3 linked regions of the Stegostoma tigrinum genome follow. The protein of the gene in region 2 binds, or shares a complex with, the protein of the main gene of each other region. Links are inferred from orthologs where the notes say so. Each region holds a gene or a part of one and is shown on either strand. Other genes may lie near its edges. The genes, in order: zinc finger FYVE domain-containing protein 16-like, ptpn23a and zinc finger FYVE domain-containing protein 9-like.

The links.
Region 1: the proteins of ptpn23a (region 2) and zinc finger FYVE domain-containing protein 16-like are in contact, whole or in part, in a crystal structure (PDB 5MK0), measured with the Homo sapiens proteins. The link is inferred for Stegostoma tigrinum from reciprocal best matches to the Homo sapiens genes PTPN23 and ZFYVE16. Residues at the interface, in NP_056281.1 of Homo sapiens: Phe62, His125, Glu137, Glu138, Lys141, Val142, Cys144, Thr145, His146, Gln148, Cys149, Leu189, Lys192, Ser193, Asp196, Arg198, Lys199, Phe201, Leu202, Arg205, Ile206, Ala336, Leu338, Leu342, Asp348, Ala350, Val351; in NP_001098721.2 of Homo sapiens: Asp2, Tyr4, Phe5, Ala8, Val9, Leu12, Asp13, Leu15, Leu16, Asp17, Phe19, Glu20, Gln21.
Region 3: the proteins of ptpn23a (region 2) and zinc finger FYVE domain-containing protein 9-like are in contact, whole or in part, in a crystal structure (PDB 5MJY), measured with the Homo sapiens proteins. The link is inferred for Stegostoma tigrinum from reciprocal best matches to the Homo sapiens genes PTPN23 and ZFYVE9. Residues at the interface, in NP_056281.1 of Homo sapiens: Phe62, His125, Glu137, Lys141, Val142, Cys144, Thr145, His146, Gln148, Cys149, Leu189, Lys192, Ser193, Asp196, Arg198, Lys199, Leu202, Arg205, Ile206, Ala336, Leu338, Leu342, Asp348, Ala350, Val351; in NP_004790.2 of Homo sapiens: Glu2, Tyr4, Phe5, Gln6, Glu8, Ala9, Leu12, Asp13, Val15, Leu16, Asp17, Phe19, Glu20.

The regions. Positions count from the first base shown.
Region 1 is NC_081356.1:101,132,646-101,136,394, forward strand, and holds the start of zinc finger FYVE domain-containing protein 16-like, read right to left. Parts: upstream 2,974-3,749; 5' UTR 2,893-2,973; intron 1-2,892.
Region 2 is NC_081358.1:98,494,921-98,498,669, forward strand, and holds the start of ptpn23a (tyrosine-protein phosphatase non-receptor type 23), read right to left. Parts: upstream 2,801-3,749; 5' UTR 2,759-2,800; coding exon 2,675-2,758; intron 1-2,674. UniProt on the Homo sapiens protein: Plays a role in sorting of endocytic ubiquitinated cargos into multivesicular bodies (MVBs) via its interaction with the ESCRT-I complex (endosomal sorting complex required for transport I), and possibly also other ESCRT complexes.
Region 3 is NC_081361.1:64,112,723-64,116,471, forward strand, and holds the start of zinc finger FYVE domain-containing protein 9-like, read left to right. Parts: upstream 1-1,322; 5' UTR 1,323-1,503; intron 1,504-1,516; exon of another isoform or gene 1,517-1,740; intron 1,741-3,749. UniProt on the Homo sapiens protein: Early endosomal protein that functions to recruit SMAD2/SMAD3 to intracellular membranes and to the TGF-beta receptor.

The sequences.
Region 1 (3,749 bases), on a different chromosome or scaffold from region 2:
TCCGCCTCCACCGCATCTGCTCCCACGATGAAGCATTCCACTCCCGCACATCCCAGATGTCCACGTTCTTCAGGAACAGCAACTTTGCCCCTGCAGTGGTCGAGAACACCCTTGACTGCGTCTCCCGTGTTTCCCACAACACATCCCTCACACCCCGCCCCCACCACAACTGCCCCAGGAGGATCTCCCTCGTTCTGACACACCACCCCACCAACCTCTGGGTACAACGCATCATCCTCCGACACTTCCGCCATCTACAATCCAACCCCACCACCCAAGCCATTTTTCCATCCCCACCCTTGTCTGCCTTCTGGAGAGACCACTCTCTCCGTGACTTCCTTGCCCGCTCCACACTCTCCTCCAACCCCACCACACCCAGCACCTCCCCCTGCAACTGCAGGAAGTGCTACACTTGTCCCCACACCTCCTTCCTCACCCCCATCCCAGGCCCCAGGATGACTTTCCACATTAAGCACATGTTCACCTGCACATCTGCCAATGTGGTATACTGTATCCATTGTACCCGGTGTGGCTCCCTGTACATTGGGGAAACCAAGCGGAGACTTGGGGACCGCTTTGCAGAACACCTCTGCTCGGTTCGCAATAAACAACTGCACCTCCCAGTCGCGAACCATTTTAACTCCCCCTCCCATTCCTCAGACGACATGTCCATCATGGGCCTCCTGCAGTGCCACAATGATGCCACCCGAAGGTTGCAAGAACAGCAACTCATACTCGGCTTGGGAACCCTACAGCCCAATGCTATCAATGTGGACTTCACAAGCTTCAAAATCTTCCCTTCCACCACTGCATCCCAAAACCAGCCCAGTTCTTCCCCTCCCCCCACTGTATCCCAAAACCAGCCCAGCCTGTCTCCACTTCCCTTACCTGTTGTTCCTCTCTCCCATCCCTTCCTCCTACCTCAAGTCGCACCTCCATTTCCTACCTACTACCTCATCCCGCCTCCTTGACCTGTCCGTCTTCCCCGACTGACCTATCCCCTCCCTACCTCCCCACCTGTACTCTCCTCATCTTCTTTTCTCTCCATCTTCGGTCCACCTCCCCCTCTCTCCCTATTTATTCCAGAACCCTGTCCCCATCCCCCTCTCTGATGAAGGGTCTAGGCCTGAAACATCAGCTTTTGTGCTCTTGAGTTGCTGCTTGGCCTGCTGTGTTCATCCAGCTCCACACTTTGCTATCTTGGATTCCCCAGCATCTGCAGTTCCCATTATCAATTGAGCATAACATGGCTGATTATAGAATCATAGAATCCCTACAATACAGACAAAGACATTTGGCTCATCAAGTCTGCATCAAACAGCATCCCACCCAAACCCACACTATCCCCATAATTTTGCATTTAATACAGCTAATCCACCCAGCCTGCTCATTACTGGACACTTTTGGGCCATTTACGACAGCCAATTCACCATGTATGCCTATCTTTGGACTATGAGAACGAACCTAAGCTACCAGCAGAAACACACACAGACACAGGGAGAACGAACAAACTCCACGCAGACAGTCACCTAAGGTTGGAATTGAACCGGGGCTCTTGGTGCTGAGGCAGCAGTACTAACCACTGCACCACTCCATCTGCAAACTGCCACATTCATCATATTAACAGACTCACAAATAAAGTTCATCAATTAATCCCAAAAAATAAAGTAAAGTAGAGGTGTAGGAAGATAGCTCAAGAACAAGATATTTAGAAATGTGGCTGGAAGTAAATTTGGCAGCATACAAGAAATCTATCATTTTGTAATAGTACCAAAGGGAAGGATGAAAAAGGCACTTGCAAAAAATGCTTAATCAAACCCAGGTAAAAATCTGTGATCATTCAAATAACATATCACTAACTAATCAGCAACTGAATATTACAGAATGGTAAATTCAAGGAAGAACAATTAGTAAAACTAAAAGAAGCAACTGCAAATTGCCTTGCAAAAATTAAGTGAAGTGAAGAGTAAGAATTCTTAATTCTCCCAAAGCAAAACATGGCATGAGCAAAGCTACCAACCTACATAGATGTTAGTACAATAAATTGATGAAATGCAAGCAGAATGCCATTGACAACATCCTGTTAAAGGTACAACAGTTTTTTTCCAGAAAAATTGGTTTCAGAGAGGATGAGAAGTGGTATATTTTAAACATTTTAACATGTTGATTAGACAGATTATGTAACATACATCCAGTAATATTCGCAATATAAGTATTACGCACGAAGGTACTTCCCAAATTTACAGAAACAAAACAATATTAAAACAGTACAGTTAAAAAGGTTAAAGAATGATAATCCAGGCTTGCTCTCGTGAAATGACACATAGTAGCTACTATGTCTCACGTAACGAAGTCAGGAGAATTTCGGTGCAAGTTAACATAACCAAGGCAAAGAATAAATACAGCGGCATTCTTCAATTTCACTAGCAAGAGAACTTAACAGCACAGTGCTCAGCTCTCTGTTCCTAAAACCAGAACCATTCTAACATATTCACTGGGAGCAATGAACTGCAGGGTTACCAGCGGTCAAATAGAAACTATTATGAAGTCCTTGGATAAAGTCTGGAAGGAGAGCGAAGGCCTTCGCTGTCGTCCCCGGTCCCTACTTGAGATCTGGAGACACGGGACGAGTATGTGCCAGCAGCAGGACCGTAATTAACCAGGGGTGGGGGTGGGGGCTTCAGCTATCGGGACGAGATCCGCTTAAGTCCTTCGAGGTGGAGGAAAAAGGGAGGCAGTTATCTCGACCCTGGGGTTGTGGCAGGGGATGCGAGGGAACAGGGCGGTGGAAGGGGCGGTCAGGCCGTCAAGCCCGGATAATTTTGTTTTTGTTTACGCCCCACTGCGTCGACGGTTAAACAAAACCGAATGAGTTCGACCATGATCACTCACCATAGCTGAGTTACGGCTTCCTCTCCCGGGGTTTTCTGTGTGTGTATTGGGGGAGGGGAAAGGCCAGACACAGCGCATGCGCGGCGCTGGGTGACCTGGCGCGGGGCAGGGGGTCAGCGGTCACCACAGGAACCGGGGCGGGGCCTAAGGCTCCAACGGTCACTGCCGAGCCCAGTGTCTACGCTCCGCTAAAACAAAGTAAAGAACTGCGGAGCTGCGGAATCTAAAACAAATAAGAACAGCGATTGCCGAAGGAAACTGTGACAGCAACCTGTGAAGGGAAAAACAAGAGTTAACGTTTCGAGTCCGGTGACCCTTCCTTCACAAACACAAACGAAGTTGCTGGAGAAGCTCAGCAGATCTGGCAGCATCTGTGAAGGTAAAAACAAGAATTAACGTTTCGGGTCCGGTGATCCTTCCTTCAGAACTGTGCTCCGAAACATTACCTCTGTTTCTCTCTTCACGAATGCTGCCGGACCTGCCGAGTTTCCCCAGCCTTTTCTTTTTATATGTCACCGCTGCCGCATTCGTCCGGCTTCACCCTGAAGCGGCGATGCTCAGACGAATGAGCTGAGCATCCCTTACCAGCCAAAACACACCACAGAGAACAAAACCAAAGTTGCTGGAAAAGCTCAGCAGGTGTGGCAGCGTCTGTGAAGGAAAAAAATCAGAATTAACGTTTCGAGTCCGGTGACCCTTCCTCGGAACTGAGGACCACGGAGAATCATCCCGTCGCGTAAAGACTGCCCAATCAAAAAGGTGAGGAACTGAGGTTAAAAAATACCCCCGAGAGAACTGTGGATGCTGTAAATCAGAAACAAAAACAGAAATTGCTGGAAAAGCTCGACAGGTCTGGC
Region 2 (3,749 bases):
ATCCCATTGTGCCTGAACTAATCTTCTGAACAGTTTAACATATAGCCAAACATCTATTTTATTTCCCCATAACCTGTACCTGTTTCTAATTAAATAATAATCCAATGCTCGGCTGAATACCTCCATTAAATCTACCGATCATACTTCCAAACAGTGCAATCCATACCGTAACTACTCACTGTGAGAAAAAGGTTTTCCTCACCTCAAATTTACTTCTATTGCAAAGTATTTAAAAACTAATCCCCTCTGGTTCTTGATCTACTCTGCCAAAGCCCCTCATGATTTTGAAAACATTAGTCAAATCCCCTCTTAGCCTTCTCCTCTCCATGGAAAATAGTCCCACCCTAAGAAATCTTTCCTAATAACTGAAGTGGCTCATCCATAGAGCAATTTTTAGAATTGTTTTTAAAAAAGATTACACTTTCCAGATCAGTTTAATCCAGGGAGACTGAGGAAATATCAATAAAGACCCATCTGACCCTGATAATAATCTCCTATAACTTCTTCTGTCAGACAGAAGATACGGGAGCCTGAATACATGCACCAACAGGGTCAGGAATAGCTTCTTCCCAGCCATTATTAAACCTGATGAAGGGACTCTCTAGCCTCAAACACTGCTGATCTTGCCTAGCACGTGCCCTGTGCAATGTAACTTGTATGCCTCTGTCTATATCTTTTTGATCCGTATATCTTTGCTTCCTATGATCTGCCTGTACTGCTCCTAAACAAAGCTTTTCACCATAATTTGGTACAGGTGACAATAAATCAATCGAAATACAGTAACAGAAAGTGGAGGTGAGATTTAGACATCTCCACGTATATGCCGAAGAACACATTTTGACATTGAGAAAATGATGCTGCCTTATACTCCATGTCAAATCATGAGACATAATCAAATGGGGCGGTCACAGCTGGGGGACACACATAACACAAGGAACTGCAAAGTAATGCAATGGCTGGAAATCTGAAATAAAATCAGAGGTGTTGGAGAAACTCAACAGGTCTGGCCATATCAGCAGAGAAACAGTTAATGTTTTAGTCAATATACAAGAAGGTCAATCATCTCAGGTCAAGAATTCCTCAGGGTAACATCCTAGGTCCAAACAGCTTCAGCTACTTCAATGACCTTCCCAACAAGGTCAGAAATGTGATATTTTCTGATTCAGTGACATTTCCAACTCCTCAGACACTGAAGTAGTCCAAACCATATACAACAAGGCCTACTCTTTAGGCTTGAGCTGTCAAGTGGCAAGTACTATCCCCAACCCATAAGTAGCTGGCATGACAATCTCTACCAAGAGGAAATCTTACCATCTCCTCTTGTCAGACAATGAAATTACCATCATTGAATCGATTACCACTGACCAGAAACTCAACTGATCAGTAACCACAAACTGTGAGGTGGTTAACTCACGAGTCAGGAGTGTAATGGAATGCTTTGTATTTGCTTGGATGAATGCAGTCCTGGCATCACAGAAGAAACTCATCACAATCTGGAACAAAGCATTTCACTTTATTGGCACCCACTGATCAACTAAAACATTCACATTGTCCAGCACCATTTACAAATTACTGCCACGCATTTGACCAACACTTCTTCAACTGTACCATTCAAACATGTAACTTCTGGCACCTGGAAAAATGAGGGAAGTAAGGCCATGGGAAGATCACCACTTACAAGTCCATTGGTGCAGCATTCCTGACTTGGAACTAGGATGGAGGCAAAATCATGTAACTTTTCTTTCCCAGCCGCACCAGACGGGCCATTGAGATTCAAGAAGGTAATTCCAATCACCTTTCAAGGGCACTTAGGGATGGACAACTAATTTTTGATGTTGACAACAATGTCAACATTTAGTGAAATAGTTAAAAATTTGTATGTTGGGGGAAAGAGGGAGAAAAAAGGCATACAGCAGCTGGTTGTTGGGTCATCCAATGACTGTACCTCCCTCAGTACTGACTGCTGCATCCATCTTGATTTGTCTGGTCAAGTTCTGGAGTGGGATTTGAACCCACAGTGTTGGAACTAAAGTAATATGAAACTATTTTTAAAAAAAAAACTCAGCTGGTCAGACAGCATCTTTCACAAGGAAGGTCATGATTGTGATGAAAGGATGCCTCAACGTGAAACATTAACTTTGTTTCACTCCACGGCCATTGCCTGCCTTGTTGAGCATTCCAGTATTTTGCAGCACCTTTGATCTGCATTATGTTGGGTGTCTGCTGACAGCTGACTGTTACACTCATCATGGCGTGATGGCGTTGAATGCCCTTTGTGAAGCTCATCTTAGGTGAAGAATAACATCAAGGAAAAAAATGGTTTGGTTCAGCCTCAGACGTTTCGCTGTCCGAGTCTGCAAGTTAATAGCGAATGGAATGACGAGCAATCAAAAGGAACAGCAAATCTATTTAAAAACAAGATGCCGAACTCTTAATGTTAAAGGTGGTAGGCGCAGGGCCCGGATACGGTTCCTGGGATTCATAGGGGCTCAGCAGAAACATTCAGGGGCCTCAGTGACGCCAGCGGAGGCCGTCTCCTCCTCCTCCTCCTCCCAACCGAACAGCCAGAGTCTGGACGCCTTGGCGTTGTTAGTTCTCAGAATAATCTAACTCAGATGAAGAACACCAAGCCCTGCTTTCGATCTTCGGCCGATTCTCCGTCATTCTTATTTACCTGTCGGACTGCACTGGCGAAAGGAAACTCCCCGGCTTCCTTCAAATCCAGCCAGATCATCGGCATCCGCGGCACGGCCTCCATGTTGGAAGGACAACCGAGACCAGCCAGTCGTGGCGTCACCCAGCGGATATGACGTCACGTCGGCACCCTGAGCCTTGTGGGAATTGTAGTTCACCCCCGCGCTCTCTGGGAGCCTTCACCACACTAAGAAGGGGCGAAAACAGAAGTTGCTGGAAAATCTTAGGGGGTCTGGCAGCATCTGTGAGGAGAATTAACGTCTCGGGTCCGGTGAGCCTTCAAAACTGATGGTGGCTCAGAAGATATCGGTTTATACGCAGAAGGTATCGCATTTTCTGACGTTGCACGCTACCTATTATTAGAATGTGGAGGTGCCGGCTTTGCACTGGGCTGGACGAAGTCGGAAATCACTCGACACCAGGTTACAGTCTGACATAACAAGGTGTGGAGCTGGATGAACACAGCAGGCCGAGCAGCATCAGAGGAGGAGGAAGGCTGACGTTTCGGGCTTATTCGCTTCTTCAGAAATGGGAGTTCCTACTATCTCTGAACCAGGTTATAGTCTAACAAGTTTATTTGAAAACAAACAAGCTTTCGAAGGGTCAAATAATAAGTCGCTGCAGGTCATCCAAACTGTTAGATGGTGTGAATATAGTGTCAACAGCTGAATAACGAGCAAAGGGATAACCTATAGTCTGATTAAATGAGGCAGAGAGATAATTACAAAAACTTTAAAAATAAGGTGGTGTCAGAGACGATCCAAATGACTGGAATAACATGATAGGTATAACAGTTACATCCTGAGTTGTTGTAATCCAAAACTGTGCAAACCAATTACGGTCGAGAGATCATAATAATTTATCCAGGTGGTGGTGACGAAACAGGACAGTAAGGAAGATTTTCCAGATACAGGACAGTGTGGTGGGGTCACATGTAATGTGATTATGAACCCAAGATCACGGCTGAGGCTGCCTTCATGGGTACAGAGCTTAGCTATCAGTTTCTGCTCGTGATTCTGTGTTGTGTATCTTGAAGGCTGCCATTGTTTTAGTGT
Region 3 (3,749 bases), on a different chromosome or scaffold from region 2:
TCAACCCAGAGCGTCACGATGGTGCAGGCTTGTGGTTTGCCGATGCTGACTTCTGTGGACGAAAGTTTGCTGAGAATGGTAATCATGGTAATTATTGACATGTCTGGAACTTGTACCATCTAGATTTTTAGGAAGGCTTGGAACAAAGTGAGTTGGCTTAATAATGAGATGCAAATACATGGGAAAGATGTCGCTGTGCAAAAGTGTGATTCTTTAAGAGCGTCAAAGTTCAACGCGAAAATTACGTTTTCTCGAAGTGAAGATTCTGATGTTTTCGTTTTCATTATTTTTCCAACTTTGTTGCCATTGTCTATGCGGGAGCAGAAGGACATTCAGCATATGTGCAATTAATAACTGTATGTGATAGAATAGCATGCAAGAATGTCTAATAAAGCATGCAGGCTCCTCCGCTTTATTGAAAGAAATATACAGTACAACATCAAGCAAGTTGTGATAAACTTGTACACATTTCAGTATTATGTCCGGTTGTGAGCACTACAGTTTTGGAAGACTTTAAGCATACAGCAAAGTTAACATGAATCATTCCAAGCAGCGAAAAGTTCAGCTACATGATTAGACTGGGGAAATTGGGTCCTGGCAAAGAGAATGTTGAGATGAGATTTTGATGGGCATATTCAAAATGATGAAAGAGTGTGACAGAGTAGATAGAGCGAAAGATTTCCTATTGCGGAAGAGCCCAAAACCCGAGATTAAAGCTAACCAGCAAATGAAACAATGTCAAAACTTGAGTTAAACCTTTTAAAATGCACTGCCCGAGAGTGTGATGGGGATGGGTTCGATCATGCCATTGAAAGAGAATTGGGTCATTATATAAGTAAGGGAAACAAAGTGCGGCGCAAAAGTTAAAAAGGTAGGGGGACATACCTAATTCAATTGTTTCTGGCAAAGCGCCAGCATGGAGAATATGGGCCGAATGACCTCATTCCATGCGGATTTTAAATATCTAGGCCGTCTTTGTTTATGAAATTATCTGGACAGTGTTTACTCTTGACCGCTGCTTCAATGGAAACGAAGCAACAAATGCGCCAAACAGTTTACAAGCCATCGCTGTAACGTGCTCATGAAAAGAACCAGTCGCTGCTCCGGGAGTACGGATCTGAGGAGCTGTTCGCAGAAGCAGGTAAGATATAGACCAATTGAAAATAGTCGTTCAAGTCCTAACTATCTGATTGGCGATTCGCTCAAGCGGCGTATGTTCTGAGGATACGGATTGGTCAGTTGAGGGGTCGTGTCTGTGGAGGGTGGGCGGGAGTGACTGGTGATTGGTCAGATTGGATGGCGCGGTCGGATTGGCGGTTGGAAGGCTGCCGCTGGTATTTTCCAAACGTCAAGCGCGTGATGGATGGCTGTTGAGTTGATGTCGATGGAGAGGGTGAAGCGTTGCGGATCTTGCCTATTAAGATGCAGAGTGGATAATAGCGACCAACGGTGTGGCCGGCGACATTCTTCAACCCCGTCTTGGAAGCGATGAACCCGCGTCTGGTAAGGAAACAAAGTCCGGGAGCGATGTGAATTGTTTAAAGGGATTTGGACCGCCCTCCGTGCGACCCCGACGGCTCGCTGGATATTGCGCCTGCTGAGGAGATGGCAGCCGAGGGCAAGCGTGTGCTTTGCGGATATTACCGAAGCACTTACTCCCATGCTTCGGGTAGGCCTAAGAAGACAGTGTTGAAATAGTCCACCGCCTGGCTTTCTGAGCACGATTTTTTTTTCGGGAAGGTGTGTGTGTGTGTGTGCGCGCGCGAGAGAGATTGGTTTGTGCCTTGTCTAGCAAGTCTGCAAATATTTGAATTTCGTCATTAGTCCTAGATTTAAATGCTGCGGATTAAAGCAATCGTACATGGCACAGAAGGTGGGGGAGGGTGGGACTCATTCGTTTATTTTGCAGGGTGTAACTCCTGGGCTTGACGGCACTACTGCGTTTTGACTAGGAATAGATTTGACTTGGCTTTCATTAACAGAAAGCATAACTGCAAAAGATGTGTCCTGATCTGTTTGTAAAAACTGCTTCGCACCTTCGTAAAACACGTAATCTTCATAGACAAAAACCACAAGATTTTCGCAATTCCGAACAGTGGGTGCAGAGGTCATACAGCCCTTATCGTCTCCCGTCAAAACAAAATGTGCCGCAGAATCATGCTAAAAAGTTTTCTCATTATTAACCTCCGGGTTCTGTTGTAAAGTGCAAACGACGACAGAGACAAAATAGTGCAGGACGCTTTTTGGATCCAAAACAAATGAGATCAGTCGTTGGTTTTAGCCAGTTTTACCCTACGATGTCTAGGGAATATTTCTGTCTCCCAACAACTTTGTTCTTAAATATTATAAATTGTAGCAATGATATTGAGTAATGCTGAAGGTTCGCTGCATACTTTTTATGCTTACTTTTTTGGAGCACAGGGACGAAGAAACGACTACACACAATTCAACCGAAGGTTTCGAAATTCAGTGATCCGTGTCAAAATTCATCTTTAACTTTTAGATTGCTGAGTGTACAATGATTCTTAAAAAAGTTACTTTGTGTGATTCCTTACTGGAAAGGAACAATAAGCTTTGTATGACAGTAGTCCTGCAGTTGCTAGTTGCTGACTGCCGTGCATTTAGTGTGGAAAGCAGGTCTGGCTGTTTCGTAAAGAGGGAGAGCGCTAAGTTGGTACCGTGAACGAATTATGTCAGTTTGTTAGAGGATTAAGAAATTAAGTTTGCAATTTAGTTGCGATTAACATTTGAGTTTTTAAAGGGTGAGATGGGAAAATGTGTTTATGAAAAATGCTTGCTGAATTGGGATTAGTTAACTGGAACAGAGATTAAGGAATTTTCACCATTGTAAATTTTGACAGTAGTAATGAGGAAGAAAATTTGGGATTGTCAGTACTCCTGTTTATAGCTGCTTCTGCCAGGAGATCTGCTGTCATGGCATGCCACGTTCATCTGCCCTGCTGCATTCTCGTGTGTCTGCTGTAGCTCGTTTGTAACCATGCCATGACATCTGCGATTCAACTGTGCCTATGTCAACCCCTCTTCTGCCCTCCACTAGAAGAGATCTCTGCAGCATTTCAGTTCCGATCTCAAAATTCTTACTTTATTGGGTGTTGTTTTTCTAAGAATTATTTTTGTTTTTGGCCTTCATTTGACTTGTATATGGAATTTTTTAACATGCTGCTTAATGTCCATGTTCTTAATAGATAAAAAAGTCAAGATTTTATTTTATAAAATGGCACTGTTCAATTCAAATAGCTCATGAGATGGTACCATAACCTATTTCAAAGGAGAATTATGCACACGTGGAAGGGAATAAGCAATTTGAATTGCTTTGAGTCTTTCACTGCCTTAGCACTTGCCAAAGCATTTTTCCAGTTTGGTGATTTTGGGTTCAACATTAAATGTTGGCCAGGTTGTGTGGAGACCTCTTCCACCCTGTTAAAATACAGATTGTATTTCTCCAGATGTGCTCTAGTTTACTGCTTTTATTTGAGTAAGATGCAACACTATTTTCCAGCTTGTTTTTTCAGCTAAGATTATGTGCTTAAGTCTCTGTAACAAGACTTGACCTTGTAACTAAGATGAGTGTGCTATTGCTGAACCAAAGCTACTGCCAAAGAAATATGAGATTTATGTAGATGGTTGCAGTTGAACAAGTTTCTTATTGTACTTAACATTTTGACTCCAATTTTTTTTGTAATAAGCAAATCATCTGTCTTTCGTTAAATTTCAAAGTTAGCTGAAGT